Linked DNA regions of Astyanax mexicanus. The protein of the gene in region 1 interacts with the protein of each later gene in a pairwise test. Links are inferred from orthologs where the notes say so. Each region holds a gene or a part of one and is shown on either strand. Other genes may lie near its edges.

Region 1 (11,100 bases):
TGCTACACTGATTGATACATATATTTATAAATAAAATAGAGAGCAAAATAGTGGCTGGATTGCTCATAAACAACATAAGTGATCATCTTCCAATTTGAGCAATCTTTTAAAATATGTTTAATATAAAAAAAATAAAAGTCAGGCACTTTTAAATGTATCTACAGAAACAGAACTCCAGAAGCTATCGCTGCTCTCGAGATTGACCTAATGAAACAGAACTGGACAGAAGTAAATGAAAATGATGATCCAAATAAGGCATATGATACTTTTCTGACTATAGTAACTGAGTTATATGAAAAAAATAAAAACTGTCCTTTAAGAAAATGTACAAGAAGCCACAAAACAGTGGAAAACCATGGATTACTAGAGGAATTGAAAGAAAAATGTACTTTATAAGATTTTTTAAAAACAAAGAACAAAATAAGCAGAAAACAAATATAAGACCTATAAAAATAAATGAACAAGTATTAGGAGAGATAGAAAAAAGAAATATTATCAGAAATTATTGGAACATCACAGGAATAATACTGTGGAAAGTGCTAAACAGCATAGTTAAAACATGTTTGGGAAAATTTTGTAAAAGAAGATAATACAATTTTACATCAAATCAAAGAAATTGCCGACAAATTTAATGCTTAGTTTGTGAATGTAGGACATAACTTAGCTAAAGAGATTGTAGAGCCAAGAAATATGCATGGAATAAATAAAGATATTATTCATAAAAACTCTCACTCCATTTTTATTAGGAGGACTGAGGAAAATGAAATACTGGATATTGTTAACAAATGAAAAAACAAGAAGTCCACTGACTGGAATGGAATAAATATGTGGCTGGTAAAAAAAAAAACTCATAAAGTGTATTATAAAACCTTTTCCTCATATCTGTAATCAGTCACTGCAAAAAGGTATATTTCCCCAAGAATTAAAACCAATGAAAACTGCAAAAGTCATTCCTATTTATAAAAGTGGAGACAGACACAATTTCTCTAATTACAGACCAGTTTATCTGCTTTACCAGTTTTCAAAAATACTAGAAAAAGTATTTGCTCATAGACATTTGCTCATAGAGCATTTTATAAAAGAAAACAATGTATTGAGCGATCACAAGTTTGGTTTCAGATCAGATAGGTCCACCTCGATGGCAGTGATGCAGCTAGTAGAAGAGAAAGCTACAGCAATAGACAAGAAGATATATACAGTGGGGGTGTTTATAGACTTAAAAAAAGCGTTTAACACTATTGATCACTATTTATTAATGAAAAAGTTAGAGAGATATGGTATTAGGGGAATAACATTCTCATGACTCAATAGTTACCTTAATAATAGATACCAATATGTTCAAATAAATAATATCAAGTCAGATTTTCTGAAGGTTACATGTGGTGTGTCACAAGGCTCAGTGTTAGGACCTAAATTGTTTAATCTGTACATAAACCATATTTGTAAGGCATCTAAAGTGTTACAATTTGTCCTATTTGCTCATAATACCAATTTATATTGCTCTGGAGAAAACTTGGAATGGCTTCTAAATACGGTAGAAAGAGAATTTAACATCTTAAAGAAATGGTTTGATGTTAATAAGCCATCATTAAATTTAAGAAAAACATAGTTTATGATCTTTGGTAATCAACAAATAAAAAGAAAATAAAAATTATGATCAATGATATTGAAATTGAAAGAGTGTATGAAAATAAATTTCTAGGTGTGATAATTGATCATAAATTATGTTGGAAACAACACATAAACCATGTAAAAACAAAACTGGCCAAAACCATTGTAATACTCTATAAAACTAAACATATTTTAAATCAGAAGTCACTATATTTACTGTACTGTTCCTTCATAGAGCCGTATATGACCTATTGTGTGGAAATATGGGGAAACACATATAAAACCAATACAAATCCAATTACCATACTACAGAAAAAAGCTATATGACTTATTAACCAATCAAACTGCAACAAACCAACCAATAAATTATTCATTAAATTACATGCTTTAAAATTCTGTGATTTAGTTGACTTTAATATTGCACAGATAATGTACAAAGCACAAAATAATTTACTCCTAAATTGTATTCAGGGGAAATTTAAAGAGAACAACTATGAACTTGGGGGAATAGATATATTTAAAAGAAATAGAGCAAGGACAAATATGTAAAACAGATGTGTATCAGTCAGAGGGGTAAAGCTGTGGAATAAATATAATGAATATTTAAGAATGTGTAGTTCACTCTATAAATTTAAAATAATGTTTAAAAACAGGGCAAATATATAAACAAATATATAACTGATAAATGAGCTGTCTATATATTGTGAACTTTCAAATGATTAATTATTTAAACCTTAATTTTCTTTTTTTTTTGTTTTTTTTTGTTTTGTCACAACATTTTATTTACTACATTTATTTACTGTATATATGGTAGGCAAAATAAGCTAAAGCTTCAGCCTATGTCTTTTCGGCTGTTATTGATTTAAATGCAAAATACAGGCTGAGATTTTTTCTTTTTTTCTTTGTCTTTTTTTCTTTATTATCTGTTTTTATGTGTGTAAAACGAAAAACTAAACTAAAAAAAAACAAATAAAAATCAGTGAACAGCTTTTTCTACACCACAGTGAAACACTACACACTGATGGAGTAAACACTCCCTTTAATTCCCCCAACTTTACTTTAAAGCTTTTCAATTAATAAAAAATGAAAGAAATATTTTAGTCATATTTTAAAAGAACCAAGTGTCTTTTTATTATGATGTAAATCAGAATTTTAATATTTTTTACAAAAACGTAGGTCTGGTGGTAGACAGTAAACATATTTGTTTGTCCCCACTGACCATCCTTACATATTTATTCCTCTTTTTAAATATAAAATTACAATTTCAATACACTCCCACAGTTTTTTCCAAACCCGCCACACCAAATAGTTTACCCCCTATAAAAATAATAATCAGCATTGAAGAATTTCCTGAATTATCATTCAGGAAATTACATCATCACACTTGTCTCTTGAAGGACAAACTGTAAATGGGCCATTCCACTGAATGGGTGCCATATGCCTGTTATAACTCTTCTGAATTAAACTCATTTTTTTTAATAACACGTGTATTTAACTATTTAAAACACATCAAAATCAGTTTTACAAGGTTTCTAATCCGAAGATGTTTACAAAACTCATGTGACATTTAAAAAGCATGTTTAAAAGCAAGTCCACCAATTCTTTTGATTTTCTCTCAAGAAACTCTTTATTTTAAAGAAATGTTTGAGAACATTTTATGACATTTGTTATGTTATAATATTTATGATCAAAAAATCACTGCTATTAATGCTGAAACTCCTGTTACTTATTATGGCATAGAATTAGCAAAAACATGAAAAATAGTTAAATGGCGGCTGTGCTAATAGCATGAGGACACTGAGCACATTCTAGTGATTTTCCCAAAATTTGTATTTTAAAAATAAACAAATAACATCTAAGAATGAATTTATGTAACAGGAGTGTTGAGATTGATAAGATCAAATACACAGAAAAACTAATGAGGAAACTTAATTCTGGTATTCCCATGATCTTCAGAAGAACCAGCTGATGTCACTTCCTGTTGTAGATGTGACTTCCTGTCGTAGAATGTTCCAGATGTTTCAAATGGGGTAATGTGTTACGGTAAAAGAACTGAGTGAAAACCCAGGAACATAACTAAAATGTGTAATTTCACTTAAATACTATGTTAAATAAATTATTTAATATTATTATTAAAAAAATATTATTTAAGCATAGATGAGATTTGGAGTCACACAACAATGCAAAAATTACATCTCTGAAGGACTTTAATAATTATATTTTATGGTAAAGTTTATAGTTAGAGAGTGGGGACAGGTAACTAATGCTATTTTTTTGTGTTCTATGTAGTTTTTATTAATGTTTTTAATTACATATCTTACTTTGGCAATTAGTCAGTGTGGATAACACTAAGTTTAATAATAAAATGTATTTTAAAGTTATTTTGTGTGCACATTTATACATACCATTTCCTGGGGGCAGAAATGGCACTGATTCAGTGGAATATGCCAAATAACCTTTCAGGAAACACACTTTTGTGATACGTTTAAAAAAAATGTAAAAGTAAAAAGAGGTGATTCTTATTTTTCTCATGCAGCTGGGGTTCCAGTTCTTTTAAATAAATTTAAAGGTAAGGTCTTGGAGATTTCCCCTTTTAGGGGAAGGAAAATAAATTTTAAGGGTGTTAAAACTGAGTAAAACAACATTTTGATCTCTAATGTTTATGGGCATAATCATAGTCCTGTTAATTTGAATATGTTTCAGGAAATCATTAAAATTATTTCAGACTTTTAAAAAAAACAAGTACATGGCCACATTGTTGTTTTTGTTAGGAAGTGATTTTACAGTTTTTTCCAAATGTTTAAACGCATTTCTAGAAACTTGGCTCAGTTTCTTAAAACTCTAAACACAAACTGAAAATGATTAACTGCTCCACAAATCTCTAGCAAGATGTAAATCGTTTTTTTCTTGAGAACTGGCATAATAAAGGAACAGAACATGTGCTTGATTTATTTGTACCTACTGTACCTTTATGAGTAAACACCTTTAAATGTCAAATCTCATTTAAAGAAGTGGTGAAAGATGGATGACTGTTTTTAGTAGACAATGTTTAGAAGTGTTCTTTGGCTTTTTATATATACAATATAGGACAATCATGCAAAAAAAGAGAAAAATCTAAGCTTTAATTCAAGTGTCTTTATTTGGTGGGGGAAAAAATCACACATTAAGAAATAAATATTTTAAATGAAATCATGTGTGCCACAATTATTGGCAGTGCTGGTGTTAGTACTTTAAAAACCTCTTTTTGCCAAGAAGCAGTTATAGGAGAAGATTTTTGCACTAAATCCTCTCCTATAACTCTTTACAAGATGGGAAAGAACAGAAAGAGGGATATTTCACCATTCCTCTTTCCACAACCTCCCTAAATCCTCCAGAGTCCTGGGTCTTCTCCTATGCTCTAATATTGGGGTAGTTTTTCCAAAATAAAGAGAGAATAAGGTAAAGAAAGAGGATGGGATTTTGTTGCCCAGAGTAAGATCAGATCAGATGATCAGATACCCTCAAAAATATTTCATTTAAGTTAGAGCAGATAATGGAAAATGCAGCTGTGAAGTGTTTTTGATATGTAAAAAGGATGTTTAAAATGAAAGAAACCTGTTCACTGTATATAATAGTTTGTGTGTCTGACTTTTGGGAGACTTTTGTTTTTTGGAGAGAGCAGTGTGACTGCTTTCGTTATCACTAATGATGCACTAACACCTGGAGATTATAGACTAGCACATGCTTTCTCTGATACATGTGAAGTCAGACCCCACCTCTTTTCTAACTGCTTTACCGAGTAGCCAGTGCTCTCGGTTCCTTAGTCCACTGGACCACTCGGAGCATTATATAAATTTAATGTGTAATTAAAGACGTTTTTTCAATTTATTTTTTTCATAGATGGATGGATGGATGGACGGTATGGTATAGATGGGTGGATGAATAAATGGATAGTATGGATGGACGGTATGGTACAGATGGGTGGATGGTATGGTATGGTATGGATGAATCAGTTGTATGGATGGATGGATGCTATGGTATGGTATGATATGGTAGAGATAGGTGGATAAATGGATGGATGGATGGATGGATGGTATGGTATGGATGGATGGACAGTATGGTATGGATGGATGGATGGTTGTATGGATGGATGGATTGTATGGATGGATGGATTGTATGGATGGCTGGATAAATGAATGGATGGATAGATGAATGGATGTATGGATGAATGGATGGACTTTATGGATGGATGAATGAATGAATGGTATGGATGGATTGTATGATTGGATGGATGAATAGATGGATGGATGGTATGTATGGATGGATGGATGGATGGTATGTATGGATGGATGGTATGTATGGATGGTATGGATGGATTGTATGATTGGATAGATAGATGTATAGATGGATGGATGAATAGATGCATGGATGGTATGTATGGATGGATGGATGGATGGATGGGTTGGATGGATGGATGGATGGATGGATGAATGGATGGATGTAGGGTATGATATAATAACTAAAAGCTGGTTTGTTATCTGAGGGCAGCACTCTGCTATAGAGGGTTAATAAAGCCGGGCGGACGCGACCCGCAGGGCTGCTGCTGCTCCTTTAAGACTCCGGCTCTATACCGGGGTATCCGCGCCGGGCTTTCCGCAGCTCCACCCTGCCTCCCCCGCTTCTCTTGCCGCTGCCGCTTATTGTTTTCCTCCGTCACCCCCGGTCGGGTCATGGCTACTCATTCCGTAGACGAATCGTTCCCTCTGCACGGGCTGCTCCCCAAGAAAGAGACCGGCGCCGCTTCTTTCCTCACCCGCTTTCCGGAGTACGATGGACGGGGCGTGCTCATCGCCGTCTTGGACACGGGAGTGGACCCGGGGGCGCCCGGCATGCAGGTAAATGCGAGAGCGCGGCTTCAGGAGAGAGCAGGCCGCAGGGCTGGATTCAGCCTGCTTATTTAAACACACACAGAGAGACAGCACGGGCTCAGCTTAAAGCGTGTAAAACACGGGTTTAGCTCCAAATGCGCCTAAAACGTAACAGCGTTTCTGATTAAACTGCCTGACTGACAAGATAACTAGTTAATCTAGCAGCTAGCTGTGTCATCCTTAGCTTAGCCAACCACTGACAAGCGATGCTAACCGAGGAACTATAGGCTGTAATGTTAGCTTAGCTTAGCTTAGTTAGCTCTATAATTAAGTCTGTCAAATATTACTAGTTTTATATTGCTGTTTAGATTAATGTAGACACTAAACATTTTCCTATAGCAATCTGCTTTAGCCCAACAGTACACCAGTAAAACAAGCTTTAACCCTTTATACAGGATTATACTAGTAAAAACTCAGATTCAGAATCAGTGTAATGTTATTTTACTGATCTAATCTCTTATTTCAGAGATCAGCTATCATGTTTATTAGCTTGTAATCTAATAATCAGATTTACAGATCCATAAAATCATTCTGAATAGTCATAGATCACTAACAGCACTTTCATATAATTATCAATAATTGTGAAATTCAGGTTGTGAGGAAACTGAACTAATGAATGGTACAACATATTTTGTTACAAGATCCAAACATTTAAAAATCTATATTTTTCCTGAAATTCTTCTTGTACCAAATGAAAAAGCGATAAAATAATTCTTTATTAATCCCACAGTGGAGAGGAAAAAAAACAATATCAAGAACTATACAAACAATATAATAACATCTATATACACAGGAAAATAAAGGTAAGAGAATATAAAATACTTTAAAAAAAGTATAAAACTAGGAAAACTAAGATTAGAGGAAACATGAGTTCCCTGTATGTTTGACCAGTGATATTTCACATAATCTGACAGTAAATAAATAGCAAATCTGTTACAAAATCTTAATTTTTTTCTGAAATTCTGATTGTGAGAGGAAGAAAGGAAAACTTGAAAATTAAGTAAAAAAAAAAAAGTTCTTTTTACTATTCTTCATAGAAAAAAATGATATAGAAAAAAACAGGTCAATAAAACATTCTAAAAATACCGTACATAACTATAATAAAATGTACTTTTTACTTACATGTAATTTCACTTTCTCTTTTATCTAAATTACATTTTTACTAGAATAAACTCCAATTATGAATATCTGTAATGACTTGTATCTAAAATTTTTAGATCCGTGTCTGTAAATTAGTTCTGAAGAGTACAAATGCAAAAAATGCCATTAATATGTCGTTAGTGAAGTTTAATATAAGTTGTGTATGGATCTGTCACAATAAGATTTTTTTGTGGAAGATGTATCATTCTAGAGATTATTGCAATAAACAGTATTGTTGTCATGCGGACATAATAAAATGTATAGAATAGCATAACAAAGCATTCATAACCTTGAATCATCAGTCACAGTTATTGAATCATTGGCTAAAATACAGTTTACTGTTATGTATATGAACAAAAATACAAATAAACCTAGTGGACGATATTATGATTATCCAAAAAATATTGCTGTCATGTTCATTAAATTCCATGTTGATGGTAATATATGCGTAGCCAGAATTATATTTAGAATATTTGGGCCTAGGAATTTAAATAGTCAGAATAGATTTATAGATCTGTACATTATCTGTATAACTGCTGTCATTTTAGCCTAAATGACTTTTGTTTTTGTTTGTTTGTTTGTTTGTTTGTTTTATATACTGACATCAACTGCTCACTACCACACAGCAGTAAGTGAAGCTGCATTAGCATTATGACATGGAGATAACAAACACACGGTTAGATCTGAATAGTGCTACATTTCTTAGCCTTTATAAGTAACATATCACTGCAAATAATGTTAGCTAGAACCAAAACTGAACTGGTGACGCTGTGAGTGATGGGTCTCATGGTGAGGGCCTATAAAACAGCCGGGCATGAACTCTACAAGCTCTGGCACCCGCAGCTGAAAGAGGATCAAGCACCTGTTGCCAGATTTCACCTCAACTGCCAGGAGTTCTGCTCACGCTTTCCTCTTTCTCTCAGATGACCAGGCGTCTCTAAAGTGCGCCACGTTTCCCCTGAACCCTGCTGTAGCTATGGGGTCCTGTGGCATTGGGCCCTTGGTACATATTTATTTAATTTAGTGGTGTATTTAAGTAATCACCTAGGCAGTGTCTGAAAAGTGCCCGAGATTTCCCTGCAAAAAAATCCAGATCAGGTCCAGCATGTGCGGATGGGGTTTGGAGGTCATGATGGTTGAAAAGCTGCTCATCCAAAAAAAAAAAAAAAAAAAGCATGCCCAGTATTGGTAAGCTTGCTGGTTAACCAGCTCCTGAAGAGCTTAGTGTTTGTTGAATTAGTTTCGGATCATGCATGGCCATGCTGGTTGAGCTGATTAATTACATTTTTAAACTATTGCAACAAAATAAGTATCAACATTTTATTTAGTATAAACAGAACAGTTGAGTCTATTCAGTGAGAACCAAAGAAAATCTATAATCTATTTTGAAAATAACAACTTGACTCTCATTTTGTATGCAGTAATAATATATATATATATATATATATATATATATATATATATATATATATATATATTTTTTCCCCTTCCTATCTCTATCAGTCTTGCTTTCAAACTTGTTTTCTATTCCTTTTTTCCCCCCTGTTATCTCATCTTCCCCCAATTATCCCATTTTCTTCATCCCCCAGCACCCTTCCCCAAATCCCTGTAATTGTAATCCCCCTTAACTATACTCACAAAAAAACACACAAAAACAGAAACTAGTAACTGCTGTAATGTGTACATAATCAAATAAATAAACAGTAAAGTACTAATAGTCCTCCAAAGAGGGGGGGTGGTGGCGGGCCAAAAAAAAAAAAAGTAATAATAGTGCAACAAAATAAAAAGTATAAAAAATGTCAACCACAAAAATAAAGCTTGTTTAGTGCATGTATATGAATTGCAAATTGAAATTTAAAAGTAAGTACAGTAAATAACAAAACAAATACAAGACAGACTGCTTTTACAGACTGTATAAATATCTTTTATAATCATGGCAAAAATGCTTGCAATATTATTACGTATTATACAATATGGCACACGTCTACTGGCTAGGTCAGGTTTATCATGCTTGTAAACCATCAAAATTTAACAAAAAACGACCCAATTCATCTCAAAATCATTGTTTTTTAGAAGGATATATGTTAATATTGACATTTTAATTAAGTATTCATCACCGTAAGAACAGAAACAGTGTCTCAAGTAAATGGTTACATACACTTCATATACTCTTCAGGTTTTGTGTATAACATTTCTAGATTAAAGTTCAATCATGTAAACAATTGGCTCATATTATTGAATGATCATTGGTTCCCCAACCTTCATACATGTGTGTGTGTGTATATATTTGTATATGTAAACTGATATGAATTATAAACTTTTTCTTTTTCAGACCACAACAGAGGGGAAGCCCAAGATTGTGGACATCATCGATACGACCGGCAGCGGAGACGTCAACATGTCCACAGTGGTGGAGCCCAAGGATGGAGTGGTGGCTGGGCTGTCTGGACGCACACTCAAGGTTAGAGTCTGTCCGTCAGCGCTGATCGAGAAGACTACACACCCTTTCACCATTTATTTCCTCACTCTATTCTCACATTACATCACTCTATACTGAAACCCAATCACTACAGTATTCCTGCTGCACCGGTCAGGTTTGCACAAGAGCTAACATGTTAGCTTTGGTTTCATTCATCCATTTCAGTGCACTGGTTTATCTACTGCTTACCTTTCAAACTTTATTCTCATTTTTCTGCAGATCCCTGAAGCCTGGGTGAATCCATCAGGGAAATATCACATTGGAGTTAAGAACGGTTATGAGTTTTTCCCTAAAGCTCTCAAAGAGAGAATACAGGTGAGTGTCTTTGTACAACATCAGTTCTAAAAAAGTTGTGATACTCTGTAAAATATAAATGAATGTAAATTTAATGATTTAGAGTAATTTGTTCACAACAGAACATAAAACAAATATCAGATGTTGAAAGTGAGACATTTTACCGTTTAATGAAAATGTAAATTCCTTAAAAACTTAATGACCGCAACATATTCTAAAAAGGTAGGGTTTGGACCATGTCTACCATGTCTATCCACAGACCTGCCAACATGTACGCATTTAGTACGTATATACGTATATAAGTACGTATATCATTTGACCTCTTTTTGCCATGTTGTCCACAGTTTGTCTGTGTGAGGGAGTTCACAGCGGCTCATGCTGTCGTGCTGGCCAGTTAGCATGAATGCTAATCCAGCAAGCTACTTATCGAGCCATCCGCTACTTTCATCAATGCTTCATTTTCCTCCATACTGTCAACACACAGTCACTGTGCTGAAGATTCTATGTCGCTCGGCCCCCCTTGTCGCTCGGCCCCCCTTGTCGCTCGGCCCCCCTTGTCGCTCGGCCCCCCTTGTCGCTCGGCCCCTGTGTCGCTCGGCCCCCGTGTCGCTCGGCCCCCATAAACTACCCTGGTGTATTATAATACAATTAAAAAAAGGCTCTAGTCTA
Region 2 (11,193 bases), on another chromosome or scaffold:
ATCTGTTACAATCTGAACTCACTGTTATTGCACAAAGGTGTAAAAGGAAGTTAATAATTATAAAAAAATATATATATATAAAAAATACATAAGCAGTTTTGTAAATTACCTCTCATTGCCTTTAAATTAACTTTACCATGATACAGTGATTAATGCTATACAAATATACTAACCTACATCTACTGGGACTTTCACTGCGAACATGCTCTAATATAAAGCTTATTTTGTATTTGTACAGTTAAATATACACTAGGGTAGCACGGTTTGACAAGGTAGCAAAAATCGACACAACACCGGTCCTGCATGCACACAATAGGCTAATAGGCGAGAGGAGGAGGGGGGGATTATTTAATTGCTCTCCGTTACATCAGAGAATAAACAGGAGCAGAGAAAGATAAATATCACTGCGTGTTTTTGTGGAGTTGAGCTTTTATATACGAATAAATTAATAAATTACCTCAGCTGTCAAATATAAAACAGGAGACTGCAGATAGGCAGGCCCTGAATAAACCTCTTATCTCACACTATAGCAGCGATATCGTGTACTATACTACACAAATAATCTCTATAAATAAAATAAATAAGATAATTAAGCTTAATAAGCAGTGTGAGCATTCACACGCACACCCAGCACGCGCACAGAGAACCAGAGAACCGGAGAACCTGCAGGCGCTGCAGGGCTGAGCTCGGTTAGTGCACGGGGCAGGAGTACGGGAGCTGTAACGGTGGCGCGGCCTCGGTAAGAGCCCTGCTGTCTCCCTGTCCTCCTGTCCCTGTCTTTCTCTCTGACTGTCTCTCTATATCTCTCTGTCTGTCTGTTTGCAGGCCTGCACAGTAAACCCTCTGCAGACGCAGGGCGGGTGTTGCTCGGGCTCTTACCGTGCTCTGGTCTCCGGTCTCCGGGCTGCGGGACTCCGGTTCTGAGAGAGGAGGACACACTGAAGGAGAAACAGGCGGAGAGGGCAGGACGCGCCGCGCATGCGCACTCCTCTCACTCTCCCGCCTATCCGATCCCGAGTAGATATTAGGAATAAACGATGTTCTGTCGAGTTATGCTACCTATCAATATGTGCTTCTTTACCGCAACATTTTTATATGGTAATGTTTATAATGTTTTATGTTTATGTCACGATAATTCCTAGAATTCCTAAAGAAAAAAGAAACAAATAAACAGTAAAACAATAAAAATATATAGTTTCTAATCACGTATATGACATTCACTTTTGGACTTTACTTTATACAGTGATTTAGCCTATCCACATATCCTACCTACGCTTTTGCTGAGAGTATTTTCTAATATGGTGCTTTTTTTGTAACGTTACTTTTATCTTAAAAAAATTGTCCTAGTTCCTAGATGATAGTTTTCTACAATGATCTACAATTTAATAAAATTATAATATTAAAATAAAGAAAATGTATGGAGCCCACAATGTGACATCATGTTACATCATTTTTAAAAATAAATTGATTATTATTTTTAACATGATGTCTCCTTAGGGGCTCCGTATTAAAGTATTTCTTTATTATTATTTTGTTGTGTTTTTAATCTTTGTTAATGTTACCGCTTTTAACATTAAGCAACATTTATTAATCGCAATTAATGCAAATAAAACTGTTACAATGTTTTAAAAATGTAATAATTATTAAAGAGGGGGAAAAGCGGCGCTGTGTCTTTAAGCCGTTGCCATGGAGATAGACTCGGCTTGCTGCGTCATCAGGCGGTGTGTTTACGGGGCTGAAAACGGACTGAACCGAAAACGCGTTTAAATTACAGGTAACTTTATTAATCAGCCTGTTATTAATCAGCCTGTTATTAATCAGCCTGTTATTAATCAGCCCTACTGTTATCCGGGTTCAGGGTTAATTTATACACCGCTGAGTAATTCTGATCCGGACCCGCGGTTTAGCACAGCGCTCACACAGCTAGCTTTTATCTGTTATATATACATTATATCTATTCTATATACATTTAACACCGTATTAACCCCGAGAATATAAGTATAGTGCATTGTTATATGTTATAATAAATATATTAGATAAATATTATAAACAGTACTATTCAATGTCTTTCTTTATTTATTAAATGTATTTATTCAATAATTTGAATGTATGTTGGAGATTAATATATATAACTCTGTAGTAAAGAGTAAAAAAGTGTTATTCCTCCACATTAATCTCCTGATCTAAAGCTGATGATCTGAGATGGTGATTTGAGGTGATTTAATTGGGATGAGCTGGAGCTTCACAGCGTGAAGGAAAAGCAGCAGCTATTGTTCAGCACCTCCAGGAACTCCTTCCTTCAAGATGCTGAGAAAACTATTCCAGGTGACTCTAAATCATGAAGATACTGAGATTAAAAAAAACAAGAGTCTGCAGATCTGAACTCAAAGAGAAAGCCTGTGTCCAGACTGGTACTGAACACAAGATGAAATTTAGAAGAAAAATACCCTCATACTAAACAGATTTTAGTTTTTGAAGTGTGTGTGTATTCACTTTGTACAGTGGTATCTTAGTTTTATTCTACTTGTAAACATATTTGTGTTGTAACTCCTATAGTCTGGTGTTGATCAGACGCTGCTCTCTAGGTACCGTCCTCATCATGTTCTTCTACCATTGTAACTCTTGGTTTAGGAATTAAGGGACTGGAGAAATCATGTGTGAAGGACCTTCGATGATCTCTGGGCCCATTCCACCAGACCCCTCCCTCTTCCCCGAATACTACAGACGACCTACTTCTGGTAGGGATTTGGAAGTTATTTCACCAAACAACACCATAATAAAACATCTCTAAAACTGTATTTGTGTTCATACTGATGTCAGATGGTGACTGTGATCAGTTTTTTCATCAATCATTTATTTCCTTTGTGTCTTATCTTAATGTAATGTTATGTACTGTAATGTTTCCTGTCTATGAAGCTCGGGGTCGTCTGGAGGGGAATTCTAAAAGTGGATCTTTAACTCTAAATGGACCCTTAGCCCCAGACCCTGCTCTGCATCCAGGCTGTTACAGCGCCCGCCCCGCTCATCCTCCTCCTCGCATCGGCCCAAACGCCAAACACATTCTAGAAAGAAGCCAGAAAGGAGAGGTGGGGGCTCTCCTTAAACTGGAGGGAGTCTGCCTGAAGCCCCCCCCTGTTAAACACAGTAAGATTTAAAGCTGGGGATCACCACTGATTTACTAAATCCACTGTAAATCATCAATTCTGATTTAAAATATCCCTATTTGATTCAATATCAATTCATTAAGGTACATTTCAGTTACAATTTCAGGTTTAGCTCAGTCCATAACACAAAAAACAGTGTACATGTAATAAAACATACACATCGGCTGTGCTTCTCACACTTTTACACAACTTCAGTATCAGAAATCACTTTAAAAAGGATTTTTTATTCTAAAAATTAAATGGATTGATTTTCCTTTACTCTGAATATTAATATAACTGTGTCTGCATTTAAGGTGCAACAAAAACTCAAAAAAAGGAAAAAAATGCTTCACAAAAGAAGTTACATGTTAAGTTTTCTCTCTTATTTTTCTCCTCAGAACCTGCAGCTCAGGATTATGGGAAAGAGAACGTGCGACGGCTGCGTGAGATCCAGAGACGATTCCGTGAGCAGGAGGCGCAGAAAGAGCGAGCAAAGCCGGTTCCTGTCAAAGCCCTGTGGAGCTCTCCCAAATACCAGGACATCCCCTCCAGGGTCATGGCCCAGTTACAAGTAAGTATTTCATTTTTTTGGATGGAATTGAATGGAATTGTTGTTCAGCATTAATGTATAGTAATAGAGTAATGTATATTGTATAGTTTATAAACTTTGTGTGCTTGTGTTATCTCTTTCTGTACTTCTGTCTGAAGGAAAAAAGCCACCCCAAAAAGGCAGAATGCCAGAACTTCCTAAGAGCTCACTCTGTGTGTGGGGCGGGGGGTCGGCCTCAACCTAGTCGGCCTCAGTCTGTGTCGGCATCACCCTCTGAAAACGGGCAAAAACCTCAAACAGCAGATCCAGAGGTAAACTCACACATTCCTATAAACATACACACTTACACTGTTTATAGAAAACTGCTTATAACTGAAGCGAATGCAGTTAATTTCGTATACAACTGTGTTTTCATGTTATTAAAAATGAATATCTGATATCTCCTGGTGTAGATGGAGGTGAGAGGACACTTTGTTGACTTTGTGAGTCATAATGCACGCGCTGCGAGAAAGACCGCACTGAAACGCTCTCAGTCTCTACAGGACCTGAACAACAAGCAGCCGCCGAGCGCAGTGAAGGGCCGAGTCCCCCAGTAGTGAGTGATCATATCAAATATATTTAACACAGATCATAGAACATACATATTGACTGAGAGTTAAAACAAACCCAGAAGCATGATTGGAGCATTGTCTCTTTATTACAGTATTTACAGTATCTGCCCATATCAGTGTGTGTGATTGGTCATTGGTATGTTTTTTAATTTTTGCTTCTCTCTTCCTCTCTCTCTCCTTTGTTTTAGTCTGGAAGAAAGAAAGGAGCAGTGGAGGAGAGAGGCAGAAGAGAGACGGAGGAACGCTCCTGACCCGTCTGCACCTGCTGGACACACTCAGATGTCCGACAGAGAGAGGAGAGAAACTCTAAATTCACTCAGAGAAAGTATGTTTTCGCCAAAGCTCTAGTTACAGCTAGACCTGTAGACAACTACCGTGTAGAGATTAAGCTAGCTAACAGATTAAATAGATTAAAAGCATTTAGATTAGCTAATAGATTAAAATGTGTGTATATTAAAAATAGACAACTCTTTCAGTATCTAAACAGAGAAAAGTCAACTTATGTCAACCATGAAAATAGTGCAAGTATGCAGATATGTAATTAGCTGTGTAAATATGTAATGGACAGTAATGTGTACATGTAAATACTGTATAGTATTCAATACTGTTACTGTACTATAGGACTCTGTGGTTTGGGCTAAACTCTGTCTCTCTCTCTTTAGATCACAGGTCTCTGGTGAGTGAGCTGCTCTCTCTGCCGGTCAGGGCGGATACGGTGAGCGTGAGATCACGCCGAGCAGAGCTGGACCAGCGTCTGTCTGAAGTGGAGGAGGCCATCAAGATATTCTCTCGTGATAAAGTCTACGTAAAAAATGACTCTTAATAAACACAATTACAGTGTTCATTACTTACCCATCACATTTATCACATATAATCAAACACACTGAACCTCAGGTGTTTTGATAGACAAAATATATTTCTAAAATAAATAAATCATTAAATAACAAAGCATTAGTTAAAGTTTGTATTTGAAAGAGGAATCTATTCACTGTTAATTAATATCAATATAACAAAAATGTAATTGCCATAATTTGTGTTAAACTCTGAGAGGTGCATTATTTGTCTTCTTATTTATGGCATCACTCAGAAATGTAATTTTAAGGAATACATTTAAAATCTCAAGTGTTGATTTTTAATGTATATTTTCTGTGATTTCTGGAACTTTTATATTTTCATTAAGTGGCTTCAGCTAAAGACGTTTCAATATAATGATTTTCTGCCATTTTGCCGTTTTAAATCACTGTGCCTTTTACAGTATAATGAATGGGGTAGAATAGAAAAAGGTGGGTTAAAAAAATAATCTACCATATGTACTGCAGTCTAGTTTAAATTATGTTATTTAGTGTTAAAACTGTGGGAATGGTAAAGAAACAATGTTATTTTTGTTGTTAACAAAATATTAATTTAAATAATATATATTATTAATAACATAAATAACAACAAACAAACTATTTTTTACATAGTGCTGCCTAGGAATCCATGTGTGATCTGTGTGATGTGTTTGATCTGTGTGATCTATATGAGTTGAATAAATATTTCATGTGATTTTGAAGATGGTGCTTTGTCCCTTTTTTATTCACTTACTAATGCAGTACAGCCACAAATTCTACTAATCTTCAAATGTCCACAGTTTTGCAGTTTTTCTTTTTTTTGATATAGTTTAGACATACATTTTGACCTCAAGTAAAAAAAAAACATGAACGATGGTTAGACCTTATTGCATTAACTAATGTTAATTATGGGGCTTCGTGTGGTCCAGCGGGCTAAGCGCTGCCTCTATGATCAGGAGATTGTTGGTTAGAATCCCAGTCATGCAGCTTGCCATCAGCTGCCGGAGCCCCGAGAGAGCACTTTAGTCCTTACTCTCTCTGGGTGGGTACAGTAGATGGCTCGCTCTCTTTCCCCTGATCACTCCTAGGGTGATGTGGATCAGCACAAGGCTGCGTCTGTGAGCTGATGTATCAGAGCTGAGTATATATATATATATATATATATATATATATATATATATATATATATATATATATATATATATGTATATATACTGTATGTATATATACATATATATATATATATATATATATATATACACTGCATTATGTAGATTCGCTTTGTCCCAATTGGCGAGTCTAGTGGTGACGTGTAAGTAGTGGGAGGGGCTTATCTGTGGAGAGCAGCTGCAGACCCACAGCTTTGTCTCCAGCGTTTCACCCTCAAACTACCCCACAGTACAGATTACAGCGAATAAACCCCGAGATAAACACCGCACAGACCCGCAGATAAACATGAGTAAGCGCAAAGCCCCGCAGGAGACCCTGAACGAGGGAATCACCGACTTTCTCATCGGTAAGATTTACTCTTTTACCAACACAGTGAACACGGAGAGCACGGAGCTGACCGGTGTTCTGTCGAATCGTGCTACCCTTTGAAACCGTGCTACCCTAGTGTATAATTAACTGTAAAAATACAAAATAAGCTCTATTTTAGAGCATGTTGATGTAGGTTGGTATATTTGGATAGCATAAATCATTGTATTATTATACAATTCTGGCAATGAGAGGTTTTGTATGTATACATTTTTTAAATAATAATAACATTAATTGTTGTGTTACACTTTTGTGCAGTGACAGCGAGTCAAGGTTGTTTAATGTACACAAAAAAGATTTATTATTAAAAAAAAAACATGAGAAATGATTAAAAAGTGTAAGACAGCGCATGCGTAGTACCTTTAGGAAGCACGTATCGATGGGTAGCGTAACTCGACAGAACACCCCGGCTATAGCTTAGCTAGGGTTAGCTTAGCTAACGCTAATGTTAATGTTAGTTAGCGCAGCGGCTAAGTGTTCCTGCTGCTGTTGTCCTGACTTTTCTCTTACAAACTATTATTTATTACTCTTATAAACTGATACTAAAATATTTAGCTACAATATCTGATTATTATTGTGCTTTTATGTCTTATTCCATGGATTTAGCTCAACTCTAAGCTGCAGTTTAGCTCATGTTAATGTTGGCTAATGCTCATTAGCTGGCCTGAGGAAGCTAACTATTTATAACAAGCTAAGATTAGCTCGCTTAGCCTGCTAGGATAATAAAGAAAAATGACTAACTATGAATCTATTAGGTTCCCCTTTCAAATGTAAACAACTGTAAACTATCTACATAATTATCTAACTAAGTTATTTAGCTAACTAATACTTTTTTGTGGGTGAAATGAGCAGAAAGTAAAATCCAGTCAGCAGTCTGGGCTCTGGGTTTAAATCCCCTCCGATGATTTCTGATCATATCTGTGAATGTGTTTTACAAGAAAGCTAGTTGATACGCTAAATTCAGTGAGCAGCTTTTGGTACATGACTAAATATTTTAATACTACAATCTTGATGTAACACTGTAATCACATAACAACAATTTCATAACTGGTTTTGAAACATTATACTCTAGGAATAATGTCAGAATTCACTCAGGATGATCAGTATCAGTGTTACCGAAGAGCTTCATGTGTAAAAATCTAAGTTACTCTTCTAATCTGACGTTTTCTCTCTTTTAGAATTGGCCAATTATGAAAGAAATGTCAACAGGGCCATTCATAAATACAACGCCTACAGGTAATGCATTGTTGATTAATCACAGCAGTTCTGCTCTTGGTGTCTTTTTTTAGTGTTGCTTTTAAGTTTTTAATTCACTCCTAATCCTTTCTCTTTAGGAAAGCTGCCTCTGTGATTGCTAAATACCCACAAAAAATCAAAAGTGGCACTGAAGCAAAAAAGCTGGTACGTTTTAACTTTCCTTAATCATTTACTGACATTTTTATGTTTTTTATTAGAAGGAAATCAGAATTTATGAGGACATCGTGGTTATAATCTGAATGATATTATCTTTCTCCCATTCCTCATTCAGGATGGAGTTGGTGCAAAGATCGCTGAGAAAATAGATGAGTTTTTATCCACAGGGAAACTCCGTAAACTGGAGAAGGTAAGTCCTCTTAAATACTGGAGTAGTATTTACATTGTTAGTAGCTGTTTTTATCTTCATAGTGTCTAAAGTATAAAAAAATGGATTTGATCAGTGAAATCCGTTTTTATTTTGTAGTTTTTGCAGTGTTTTATCAGAAAGTGGCAGTTCAGAGAAGTTGTGAAATTCAAGATTTAAAGGTCTACTTACTTGCACAAAGAGAATCTCCATTATTATCAAGTCTTAAGGTGTTTTAAAGGTGTATTTGTTTTTATATTTAATAAATGTAAATCTTATCAACCAAAGGCTAAAGCTGAGAAGGAGAAAAGGTGTGCATAGACCTTAAACCACTGTGTGTACAAAATGACCCAATAATACTTTTTAAAAACATTTTGTGTAAGACTCTATCAGTTAGAACAGCAGAAAACAGTTCTGTAAAACATATTCACATCTGTACCGGTTTATCACATCTATCCTCTCCAGATTCGCAGTGACGACACCAGCTCATCTATTAACTTTTTAACTAGAGTGACTGGAATCGGGTATGTGGATTTTTGCCTTTATATAACAGTTTTCTCTGTATAATCTGTAATAAAGTATGTATTAATATCTTACTGTTCCTTTTCTTATTAGCCCGGCTGCTGCTAGAAAGTTCTTTGAGGAAGGAGTAAAAACTTTGGAAGGTTTGTTTCTCTGATTATGTATTTATGTCCTTTTCTGTTTTGTATGTTCTGATCACAATTTTATAAACTTTACAACTTTATTTCAGATCTGAAGAAAATTGAGCACAAACTGAATCACCATCAGCAAATTGGTCTTAAGTAAGTGTTAATTTTTATTAGATGAAGACCTTGAATTTTAGACCATATTTACATTGTTATTAATTTGCTATAGTAAAACTGTTTGTTTGTGTGTATATGTTATATGCATTTTTTTATGTTAATATATATGCAATATATCGTCTCTGTCCAATGAAAAACACTTATCTCCAAAACAGCAACTTTACAGGAGAGAGAAAAAAAAACCTTGTAAACTTTCAATGGAAGTCAATGTAAAAAGAGTTTATTTCAGGTCATTTTGAAGAAGAGTTTCTATTGGTCTGTTCATCAAAACATTTTAGCACAGTGTAAGAGACAGTTTTTCTGTTTAAATTATTTAGTAAACTAAAAATCAACAAAAAATGGACATAAGTGTTTTTCATTGACAGCGACTATATACAACAATATCTGGATTAAAAAGTGATATGTTTTTTTTTTATTATTATTCCTAAAGATACTTTGAAGAATTTGAGAAGAGAATTCCCCGCTCAGAGATGCAGAAAATGGAGGTGGGACATTATTCCTTTAGGCAATATAAAAGTGTCTGTTTATTTAATTTCAGCACTAATAGTGATTAAAGGCAGAAAATCCAGTGAAAAATGTCTTGATGTGTGGCTCTCTCATGTTTTTAACACCAGTTAATACCAGTATTTATAAAATCCTGCAGCGTGAGGCAGGTATTACATGACCGTCAGCTGTGCTGGATTTGATCACTAGAGGGTGGTAGATCTGCAGGATCAGGACTGGGTGCTCCTATTACAGTCTGATCTGTATTAGTAGTATCTGTAGTAATATATTAATGTATTAACGTGCTGTTTTTTATGTTGCAGGCTCTGATATTACAAGAATTAGAGGAGTTGGACTCGGAGTACATTGGCACCATCTGTGGCAGCTACCGACGAGGTTTGCTCATTTGCTGTGTTACATAAATAAATAGTTATTTATGGATTGTTGATGTGCTGCATAGTTACTTGCTAACAGATGGAAAACAGTGTAAATATGTGTTATAGAGCGCCGAAAAAAAAGAAGAGAGCACTTAAAAATGATGAGTTTCTTTGATTTTACTTAATTAAAAACCTCTGGAATATAATAAAGAGGAAGATGGATGATCACAAACCATCAAACCACCAAACTGAACTGCTTGAATTTTTACACCAGGAGTAAAGCAGCATAAAGTTATCCAAAAGCAGTGTGTAAGACTGGTGGAGGAGAACATGATGCTAAGATGCATGTTGAAAAAAACTGTGATTAAAAACCAGGATTATTCCACCAAATATTGAAGCAATTTTGGCTGAAGAATAAAAATAGAGCAAAAAAATGCATAAACCCATGTATTTAAGAGTAGCTTTTCTTTGATGAACATGTATATGATATGCTTCTGTTTCAGGCGCGGAATCGAGTGGTGATATTGATATCCTGCTGACTCACCCGGACTTTACTTCAGAGTCTGAGAAACAAGTAAGCACTTACTTATGCAAAAATTATCATATGCATAATAATAATAATCCTTAATTATTAGTTCAGATATGAGCAAGCAACTTTCTGTTTACACAGACACAAACATTACTTTTTGTCTCTCTTTTTCCTTTGTAACAAAAAATAAACAAACTCCAGATTAGTTAGTGTAAACGTGTTGATGGGATTATAAATGGGCAAACGGCAAAATTCTGCACTGTAATTTTATTATTAATTTATTTGATATTTTACTCAAACTGTTTTTAATGAAGTTTTAGTTTTTTTTAAAGACAGCTACTCTTAACTATTAAGGTTAATGCATTTTTTCTTTTGTTCTGTTTTTATTCTTCAGCCGAAACTGCTTCATGCAGTGGTGGAACACCTGGAGTCGATTGGCTTTATTACTGATACTCTTTCCAAAGGAGACACTAAGTTCATGGTGAGGACGATACTCTGCTTCCTATTCACTTTCTTATTCTGTCTCACATCATTTCCTATTTTAACCTAATTTTTCTTTTCTCAGGGTGTGTGTCAGCTGCACAAGGAGGATGAGGAGGACGAGGATCATGATCACCGTCGTATTGATATCAGGTGCACAATGGCTTATATCTGAGCTGAAAAAATATAGTGTGATAACATGCTCCAATGTTATTTTATAAAATCCTATA
Region 3 (10,562 bases), on another chromosome or scaffold:
TATGTTGTATTTTGGTGTTTTAAAATAAATACTGATATTTTATTCTTAAACTTTGTTAAATATTTCGATATACTGTATCAATACTGTATACTTTTTTTTGTAAGTATCTGTACTATTAATGTATTGTGCATTTAGGCAACTCTATATACACACACCTCTGATCGCCAATAAAAACACCCCTTTCTCTTGCTCCAGTGCTTGGCTGTGTTTTTTTTGTTGCAGTGATTGCAGGGCAGTTCTAGAGAAATCCCACCGCACACATGACCAGGCTTATCTGTATACAGCCTCGCTGCGCCGGCCTTTGTGTTTTAATTGCTCGCTAAACCATTCCAAAGCCGAGGGAGGTGCAGAGAGCCTCCGCAGATATTCAGCTGGAGATTAAACTACTGGGCAGGGGTTCAAGGGCCGGAGGAATGAGGGTTGAGCAACGTTCTCTCTCGCTCTGTTCTCTGTGATTAGGCCAGAGTTGTTGCTTGGGGTTGTCATTATGAGGCTGGTTCAGGTTGAAAAATTTCCTGTCATCACTGAGCGTCTGATAAAAAAAATAATAATAATAATTGAGAAGTGGTTCGGCCAAAAACGCAGCCATAATAAAGACTGAGCGATAAATGAGCAGCAACAGCCACAAATTGGTATCACACGAAGGGTCCTCTCCTCTTTGGCTGCATCCGAAAGCCCGCATTTCTCAGCGGCTATGCCAGAGAAGGCTGTTTCAAAGTGAAGGACCTTTCATCTACAGCTGAGATATGCAGCCGACATTCAGAGTGATTTCGAGGACACGACTAATGTATTCACAACCGTTGATTACCCACTGTTTTCTGTGCACGTACAACACAATAAGGGGATGTTTTATTTATTTATGTAAATAGTAATTGCATCCCATTACAAACCATGATTAGACTGTTCCCTATTTATGACCAGAAAACTTCTAAAGCCCTATCCGGACAGAATTAGTTTTTCAGAGGGTCCTTGGGTAATTTTCTCTTTTATGGGGGTTCCTCTGTGATTTTATTCCTATCCGGATTGACCTCTGAGAAAATGACAGGTTGAATTCCCTACAGTATTTTAAGTCCAGCCTAGACGCACATCTCTGAGATTAGTCACCTTACGTTTAATAAAACAGCCATTTGTCCACTGCCAGGCACCATAATTACACTTTGGGCACGCGTTTCCACGGAGATCCACGTAAACACAACAGTGAGTGGAAATGGAGGAGCTACTGAACGCTTTATGTCATGTGACCGAGAAAGCCCCCCCCCAAAAAAAAAACCTCACTGGTCTAACTAATCCCATCCAGATAAGGCTTAACACGGACTTAACTTGTTACCCCACTGCATGTATTTTGTGTTTCATTCAACAAATATACATAGAAATATAAAGGAAACCCTATAATGCGTCATTTTCTTTTGAAGACACATGCAACACTTTTATTTCTTTACTTCATACATCAATTTAGCCGGTATCATTAGCTCTGGTTTCAAAGATATGACTATCAACATGCTTGCCTATTATGTTCTATTGCAAAGCAATAGAAGCAAAGCAATCTAGAACCATAGCATGTGCGGTCTTTAAACAGACCAAGACAAAAAGGTCAGTTTGTGAAACTTCTGCCCTGCTAGATCTGAAGCAACAACCCAGCCACAAAGCAGCACACCATAAACATAGAGCAGTGTCAGAGTGCTGCAGTGTTTACCAATCAGAAAGACATTTTACACAATTATACACTTCTGATGTCACAGAAACATTTAAGGGAAGACCTTTTCTGATCCAGCATGCCTGCACTCCACATGGTGTGAGAATAACTGAAAAACTGTGGAGGAACTCTAAACAGAGCCTTGACCTCAGCCTCACTGAACACCTTTAGGGATGAACTGGAATGCCCACCGCAAGCCAGGCCTTCTAATTCAACACCAGTGCCTGACCTCACACACAATTTCCACAGACAAACTCCAACGCCTTCTGGAAAGCCTTCCCAAAAGAGTAGAGTCGATTCAAGCTGAAACGAGACGGCACTCCATAATGATCTCCCTGTCGCTGGAATAAATTGCTACATTTCAACCCAATGATTGAAAACATTGTTTATACTGTACTGGAGGCCTGTCAACCTACACACTGCAGCCAGTGGCATACAACTCCACAATGAAGGAAAAGGAGGCCTGAGAGGAAGAGGAAAGAAGCTAGGGAGGAAGTGAGTCAGCAGGGCAAGGAAAAAGGACGGAGGATCAACAGTCCTGAGGGAGGAGAAAAGTGAACCAGAACATTAAAGTGAAAAAGCTGAACAGCCCGCAGGCTGGCGACTTAAACCTAAACATGTAGATCATCAAAAACAGTGACAAATCATGCTTTTTGACAGTGCCGTGATGGATTTACTGTGCTTTCAGGTCCTTATCCCAGTCAAACATAAACTTTTCCTGTCTTTTAGGGTGTAAAGACAGCTTCCTCCGCTGCATGCAGTCTGAGGATTCGAACAGCAGTCTTATATATACACACACGTATATTATTATATATTAACACGTGACAAAACACTCGCTCTGTACACCTCTGTCCTATAAAAAGCACTGAGAGGGGTTTAGCAGTTGCTGGTGAAAATCTGTGCTGTGGTGCAATGGCCATAATCTGCTGAATCTGAGATAATGAGTGTTTATATGCCCGTGTGTGAGACAGTGTGTGTGCAGAAGGATGAGTTTTTCTATATTTGTGGGAACCACGTGTGGTAGGATTGTGGTAGATCAAAACTGACCAGTTTGTGAGGACATTTGATGTTTGCCAATCACACAAAAACACTTTTGGAGTAGAAAAAAAACTCTACTTACAAATATCTTAAAGAGTGAAATGATTTATGTTTGATTACCGATGATCAACTTCACATACGTTATATGCCACTTTTGCCGGTCACAGATCTGTAATATTGGATTCTTTAGTATTGGATTCTACCAGTGAACACTTTCCGAATTGCTAAACAATAACCTTTTAACTCAAAATGCTGTTTAACCAGTACATCTCCGACCACTTAATCGCAGCTGTCAAGAATGTGATCAATACGTTAAATTTATTACCATCCCAACCCAAGTTTTATCACTCAGGAGAATTGTGTTTTTTTTTTGTTTTTTTTTTTTTGTTTTTACAGGCGTGTCCCTGAGAAATTATTATTATATTACATTATATTTACTCATTACACTTTTGCCACTGACAGATCTGTAATATTGGTTCCTTTCGTTAATAAATAATTGAGCAAGTCTATTTTTTGTCTTATTTTATTGATAAATATTTTTTTGTCTACTTTAAGGATTATCGTGATAAGTTTTGGGACAAATTTAGGTAACATTTTACAATAAGGTTTCATAAATTAATAGTACTTATGACAGAATGTCTTGACTGATTATTTATTAACACTAGGAAAGACATCCTTTTTCCTTTAAAATTTTTGGTAGGACTGTGGAAGGACATAAGAACATTTGATATTTGCGAACCACAAAAACATTCAAAATTACTGTAATTACAATTTTTACTTTTGATTACTGAGGTTAATGTTAGCATTATGATTTAGGAGTAGTATTAATTGCCACTGACAGATCTGTAATAATGGATCTTTTCTTCAATACATTTTTGAGCAAGTCTTATTTGTTTGAATTAATTCTCCTCCTACTTTTAGGACTAGTGTGATAATTTGATGAGGTTTTGGAATACATTTAGGTAACTAACGTTTAACAATAAGAGTACATCAAACATTTTAAAAGTCTAAATGTTTGTTTAATTAACCTTTCATTTAACACATGTATTTAACTGTACTTTAAAAATGGTTAAATGTTTATTCAAAACAAAAAAAAAACAGTTTTCTGTGGAAGCCCATTCCAACCACCTAAAATAGAAAAGCACTTTTTTATTATTAAGTAAAATGTCTCAATTCATCGATTACAGCGTTCTTGGTTTAGTAATGTTTAATAATGTCTTAACTAATTTAATTTAACAATTATCTGAGGCATTATTAAACCATTTAACAAATGTTTTAACGGTTATTTATGGCCCGTATTGTAATGCTTTACCCAAATTTAGCCAGAAATATAGAAAATGTTTTTTTCACAAACTTTTAACAGCCACTGTACACGACTTACTCACTACAGAATTAGGTAACTAGTTAAAAAAACACGTTTTAAGAAAAGAAAACTTAGTTTTGCTATATAAACATATTTTTACCCGCTCGCTGCTGACAGTGTATCCAGGTATTTTCCTCCGGCTCCGTTTATACCGGAGTACCGCCGCTCACCTCCGTCTACCGTTACCGAGCTTAGCCTGCTAATCAACTTTAGCCCCCGTACAGCCGCCGGGTCCTCCACCCGCAGCCTGACTGAATGAAACCCGTCAAAAAGTCCCTACAGGACGGTAAAAACAGCTGTTAAAGCCGTTGTTTTGCAGTAGTGGGTAATTCTGGTTGTCCAGTCGGCAGTGGGAATAGTAGTAGTAGTCAGACGGCGGTATGGAGAGTCGGAAGTGGCTAAAGCTGTTAGCTCGACACAGCAACCTGTTACAGAACCGACCTGAACCAGCCCACCTGCGCGAACACACCTCGCACCCAGCCGCGGGTCACCACAAACAGCAGGAGGAAGTTAGATAGGTGACAGACCTGTGGGAAGCTGGCGGTGCGGTGAATTCGGGAGCTCTTCCCCGGCCCTGGCTGAGTCCCGGTCGGCTGCGGGGTGTCTGCGCGCCGCGGGGGAAAAGCTTCTCCATAACAACCGGACAGGGGGAGGACCCGGCGCGGCGACACTGCAGCGGACCGACAGGGGGCTCTCAAACATCCTGACTGAATTTTATATACTATATATATATTACTAAATTATACAGTAATATTGTCTATCTGCTTATAATTAACACAGACAGGAAACAAAATAACGGCTTGGGCCCAATCCCATTTCTTTTTTGTTCCCTTCCCCTTGAAACAGAGTTAGAAGGGGACGGGTCTAAATCTGTCCCCTACGAATTGGAACAACCCTTCAAGCACCTGATACAGATTTGCAGGTGCTTCTCAAAAAAATATATGATTGAAATGTTACTTTTGGTAATTCAGTTAAAAATTTAAAACTCATATATTATATAGATGTATTACACACAGAGTCAGCCAATGAAAACCTAAAAATCAGTGTCTCAGAAAATTAGAATATTATATAAGACCAATTGGTACTTTTGACAGTGTGGGAAGTGTGCCAAGTCCTGCTGGAAAATGAAATCCTCACCTCCATAAAAAGTTATCAGCAGAGGGCAGCACGAACTGCTGTAAGATTTCCGGGAAAACAGTGCACTGACTTTGGACTTGATATAACAGTGGACCAACACCAGCAGATGACTCTCCAAACCATCACTCATGGATCATCTGTAAACTTTACATTTCATTTGGAAATCAAGAGACCAGTGTCTGGAGGAAGAGTGGAGAGGTACACAGCACAAGCTGCTTGAGGTCTAGTGTGAAGTTTCCACAATCAGTGAAGTTTTTATGGACTTTTTTTATGGAGATGCGGAATTTATGTATTACAGTGGTATGAAAAAGTTTGGGCACTTCTGATCATTTTCATGATTTTCCTTTATAAATCACTGGTTGTTTGGATCAGCAATTTCAGTTAAATATATCATATAGCAGACGAACACAGTGGTATTTGAAAAGTGAAATGAAGCTAGCTAACTAGCTGACTACTAAGACAAACAAACTGGCTATAAAAAGTTGAAACTACACGTTAAACTATGGTAATATAATGGTTATCGTCATTTTTAACAAGGAAATTATCGACTTAAAATTGTGGGGTTCTTTAGGTGCCCCTAACAAGAATCGGGCCAGCTTACCCCTTGGCTTGCAGTGCAAAACAAGGGTAGGGCTAAGTGGTTGGGCCTAGGGGTGAAATGGACTGGGCCTTGGTATCTCAAAATAATGACAAATAATGAAAAAACATTTTAAAATAATGACTTTCCTTAAACTAAGTAACTTAGAATCTTAAAATAATGAAATAACATTTTAAAAATGATGACTTAGTATCCCAATATAACTTGGTGTCTCAAAATCATGACTTGGTATTTCAAAATAACAAATTAATAGCTCATAATAATGACTTAATAGCTCAAAATAACAACTTAGTATCTTAAAATAATAACCTAAACACTGCAGCTGCGTCCCAATTGTGTATCACACAACATTATGGGTTTGTTTCCCAGACAGGGATTAGGCCTAGTCATAGACCATGGTCGCGTCTCAAAATAATGACATCTCAAAATAATGACTAGGTATCTCAAAATAATTAATTGGTATTTTGAAATAATGGAATAATTCTTTTTAAATAATGACTTAATATCTCAAAATAACAACGGAAAATAATGACTTAAACAGACTGTGGCTGTGTCCCAATTGTGTATCACACACTTCGATTTGTTGGTTTCCCAGACAGGGATGAGGCATAGTCATAGACTAATTTTGCATCCCAATTGTGTACTAATTACTGTCTAGTGTTTGAGTATGTAGTATGTTGTATAGATAAAAGTTGTATAGATGAAAGTTGAGTAAGCTGAAATATCCTTGGCCACAAGTGTAGACGATACAAATCCCCTTTTCTCTGCAGTAAAATTAGTTAATTACATTCTTAATACTTTGAGGGCTTTGGAGACTCCTACAGGACACTTTAAGAAGCTGCCTGATCACTCTCTACTTTACTTAATAATTTAAAATCAGTAACAGGAATCAACACAAATTCTTCATGATTAAAAACAGACATAATATCTTCTCATTATATCTTGGTGTCACAAAATAATAAAAAAACATATCAAAATATAGACATGGTATATTAAAATAAGGACTTGGTATATTAAAATAATTACTTATTATCTCAAATTAACGAATTGGGATCCAAAAATAATGAGAACATTTCAAAATAATGACTTACTATTTCAAAATAATGACTTAGTATCTCAAAATAATGACTTGGTATCTCAAAATACTGACTTGGAATATTAAGATAATGACTTATTATCTCAAATTAACAAATTGGAATCACAAAATAAGGAGAACATTTCAAAATAATGACTTACTATCTCAAAATAATGACTTGGTATCTCAATGTAATGATAACATAAAAAATGACTTAGTATCTCAAAATATTGACTTACATTTTAAAATAATGAAAAAACATATCAAAATAACGACTAGGTATCTCAAAATAATGAGGCAACCTCTCATACTAATGACTCAAATAATGACTCAAAATAACAAGTTAGTATCTTAAAATAGGACCTAAACACTGTGTCCCAATTGTTTATGCCACAATTTTTACATTTAACAGTTTATCAGATCCTGTCAGCTGTAAAATGTAAAAAGTAACTGTCCCTAGTGGATTGGTATACAGATTCATCAGACATTGACCTCAGGACATCCATCAGATAGGACCCCAAGAAAACTGTCAGATAGTGACCCTGGAGTATTTTTATCATGAGGCAAAATGGGTATTAGAGTGCAACTCCAGAGAGATCCATCAGAGGATAGTTCAGGATAAATGACTCATAAAATGACCTCAGAGTGATCCTTAGAGGTGTTTTTGGAGCAACCCACCATAGGGTGACCCCAGAGGGGTCAGTCAGTGAGTGATCATCTGCTGTAGGTGAACACACTGAAGTAAAACACCAAGGAGCTTAGTGGAGCAATTTACCAGGGGTGACACTACAGCCATCCACCAGGAGGTGCCAACTATTCATGGAGCAACACACTGAAGATATAAAACTGAATAAATTATATTCAAAGAATAATCCTAACAATAATTATCATGTTAATCACCATTATTATTATTGACAGTAATAGTAGACGTATTTGATTTTTATGATCGTTTTATATTCTATACATCCTTTTGTTTGAATGAAGTTATATACACAATGATCAAGCATACCTTTATGACCACCTCCTTGTCTCTACACTCATTTTTCATTTATTTTAGCCCCACTGAGCAAAAAAAATGAGACCACTTAAAAATGATGAGTTTCTTTAATTTTACCAAATTAAAAAAACTCTGGAATATAATCAAGAGGAAGATGGATGATCACAAGCCATCAAACCAAACTGAACTGCTTGAAGTTTTGCACCAGGAGTGGCATAAACTTATCCAAAAGCAATGTGCAAGTCTGGTGGAGGAGAACATGCCAAGATGCATAAAAACTGTGATTAAAAACCAGAATTATTCCACTAAATATCGATTTCAACAATATTACAATATTTCAATTTGGAATTTGTGAGAAATGTTGTCTGTAGTTTATAGAATAAAACAACATGTTCATTTTACCTATAAAAAGCAAAATCACAGAAACTGATTCAGAAACTGTAGTGGTCTCTTAATTTTTTCGAGAGCTGTATATTGTAGGAGCACTTTGTAGTTCTATAATTACAGACTGTAGTTCAGTGGGAACCTGATTCACTGGAATAGAGAATTGATAAGTGAAAGAGACAGAGACAATGAACAGGTCTTTAGAAATACGTTTTATTGTAAATAGGATACTGTAATGAGTGTGAAATTTTTTTAAGTTTTACGTAATCTTAATTAAATACAGTAAGATAACCCTTGTTTCTTCTTTGCTTCCCAGCTCTGCACACAAGACGATGTCCAGCCTGACCCCAGGACACTGATAACGCTTTAATCTGGAGATTACTCGAGCGTGCTGTCCTGTCGCTGCAGTGACGGACTGCAGGGAGGCGCTGGAAATGAACCATCCTGTTTTACAGGCTGTTTACTGCAGTATTACACTAGTGAAAGAGTTTCTTTAATGCTGATTAAATTTTATTTGATAGAAGAGTTCTGAGGGGGCATGAGAAGATTTCTTTTCTAACAATGTGAAGCATTTTCTGCTTCTTGTTGGAGCTACAAAGTAACTGGCACACAAATCCTAGGCTATATTTCTCGGCCCCTACATCATAGAGGACTGTTCCAAAGTGAAGGACCCTTTGTATACAGATACAAAATACAGCCGAGCTGCACATTAGAGCATATCAAAAATTTAAAAGTGTGTTGGCTACTTTAATATGTGCCAATTGCTATAATATGTGCTTGTTCTGTATGTGCTGTAGCTGTCCTTTTAGGCATCTTCACATTACGCTTTGCGGAACTCCAACTGTCCAAGTGTATTTTTGGGCATCTCTGAATGTACATTTGAGAGCATCTCCAAGTGTCATTTATGAGCATGTCCAAGTGTGCTTTGGCGCATCTCAAAGTATTACTTTGGGCATCTCCGAATGACCTTTTGGACATCTCCAAATGCTACTTTTTTACATCTCCAAGTGTCCTTTTGGGCATCTCCAAGCGTCCTTTTGGGCATCTCCAAGTGTCTCTTTGAGCAACCTTAAGTGTCCTTTTGGGCATCTCCAAGCGTCCTTTTGGGCATCTCCAAGTGTCTCTTTGAGCAACCTTAAGTGTCCTTTTGGGCATCTCCAAGTGTCCTTTTGGGCATCTCCAAGCGTCCTTTTGGGCATCTCCAAGTGTCTCTTTGAACATCCTTAAGTGTCCTTTTGGGCATCTCCAAGTGTCCTTTTGGGCATCTCCAAGTGTCACTTTGGGAATCTCCAAGTGTCACTTTGGGAATCTCCAAGTGTCACTTTGGGAATCTCCAAGTGTCACTTTGGGCATCTCCAAGTGTCCTTTTTGGCATCTTCAAGTGTGTTTTTGGGCATCTCAAAGTGTCCTTTTTGGCATCTGCCAGTGTCTCTTTGAGCATCCTTAAGTGTCCTTTTGGGCATCTCCAAGTGTCCTTTTGGGCATCTCCAAGTGTCCTTTTGGGCATCTCCAAGTGTCCTTTTGGGCATCTCCAAGTGTCCTTTTGGGCATCTCCAAGTGTCACTTTGGGCATCTCCAAGTGTCCCTTTTGGCATCTTCAAGTGTGTTTTTGGGCATCTCAAAGTGTCCTTTTGGGCATCTCAAAGTGTCCTTTTGGGCATCTCCAAGTTTCCTTTTGGGCATCTCCAAGTGTCCGCTTGGGCATCTCCAAGTTTCACTTTGGGCATCTCCAAGTGTCCTTTTTGACATTTCCAAGTGTCCTTTTTGGCATCTCCAAGTGTCCTTTTTGGCATCTCCAAGTGTCCTTTTTGGCATCTCCAAGTGTCCTTTTTGGCATCTCCAAGTGTCCTTTTTGGCATCTCCAAGTGTCCTTTTGGGCATCTCCAAGTGTGTTTTTGGGCATCCACAAGTGTGTTTTTGGGCATCTTCAAATGTCACTTTTTGCATCTTCAAATGTCACTTTTTGCATCTTCAAATGTCACTTTGGGCATCGCCAAGCGTCCTTTTGGGCATCTCCAAGTGTCCATTTGGGCATCTCCATGTGTCCTTTTGGGCATCTCCAAATGTCACTTTGGGCATCTCCAAATGTCACTTTGGGCATCTCCAAGTGTCCTTTTGGGCATCTCCAAGTGTCCTTTTGGGCATCTCCAAGTGTCCTTTAGGGCATCTCCAATTGTCCTTTTTGGCATCTCCAAGTTTCCCCTTGGGCATCTCCAAGTGAGTTTTTGGGCATCTCCAAGTTTCTTTTTTGGCATCTCCAAGTGAGTTTTTGGGCAT

What was found.
Region 2: the proteins of tpp2 (region 1) and polb interact in binary tests that used the Homo sapiens proteins (3 or more experiments, as listed by UniProt). The two-hybrid records come from large-scale screens. The link is inferred for Astyanax mexicanus from reciprocal best matches to the Homo sapiens genes TPP2 and POLB.
Region 3: the proteins of tpp2 (region 1) and ppp1r16a interact in binary tests that used the Homo sapiens proteins (3 or more experiments, as listed by UniProt). The two-hybrid records come from large-scale screens. The link is inferred for Astyanax mexicanus from reciprocal best matches to the Homo sapiens genes TPP2 and PPP1R16A.

The regions. Positions count from the first base shown.
Region 1 is NC_064428.1:8,695,437-8,706,536, reverse strand, and holds the start of tpp2 (tripeptidyl-peptidase 2), read left to right. Parts: upstream 1-6,210; 5' UTR 6,211-6,320; coding exon 6,321-6,485; intron 6,486-9,990; coding exon 9,991-10,119; intron 10,120-10,356; coding exon 10,357-10,452; intron 10,453-11,100. UniProt on the Homo sapiens protein: Cytosolic tripeptidyl-peptidase that releases N-terminal tripeptides from polypeptides and is a component of the proteolytic cascade acting downstream of the 26S proteasome in the ubiquitin-proteasome pathway.
Region 2 is NC_064419.1:255,827-267,019, forward strand, and holds the start of polb (DNA polymerase beta), read left to right. Parts: upstream 1-6,441; 5' UTR 6,442-6,589; coding exon 6,590-6,650; intron 6,651-7,848; coding exon 7,849-7,906; intron 7,907-8,004; coding exon 8,005-8,071; intron 8,072-8,198; coding exon 8,199-8,273; intron 8,274-8,735; coding exon 8,736-8,794; intron 8,795-8,885; coding exon 8,886-8,935; intron 8,936-9,021; coding exon 9,022-9,073; intron 9,074-9,524; coding exon 9,525-9,579; intron 9,580-9,900; coding exon 9,901-9,973; intron 9,974-10,457; coding exon 10,458-10,528; intron 10,529-10,877; coding exon 10,878-10,964; intron 10,965-11,048; coding exon 11,049-11,116; intron 11,117-11,193. Other genes in the region: vdac3 (voltage-dependent anion-selective channel protein 3), read right to left, coding at 880-980; enkd1 (enkurin domain-containing protein 1), read left to right, coding at 2,654-2,738, 2,917-3,144, 3,542-3,714, 3,852-4,004, 4,146-4,288, 4,493-4,629, 4,967-5,127.
Region 3 is NC_064422.1:19,168,586-19,179,147, forward strand, and holds the start of ppp1r16a (protein phosphatase 1 regulatory subunit 16A), read right to left. Parts: upstream 4,756-10,562; 5' UTR 4,622-4,755; intron 1-4,621. UniProt on the Homo sapiens protein: Inhibits protein phosphatase 1 activity toward phosphorylase, myosin light chain and myosin substrates.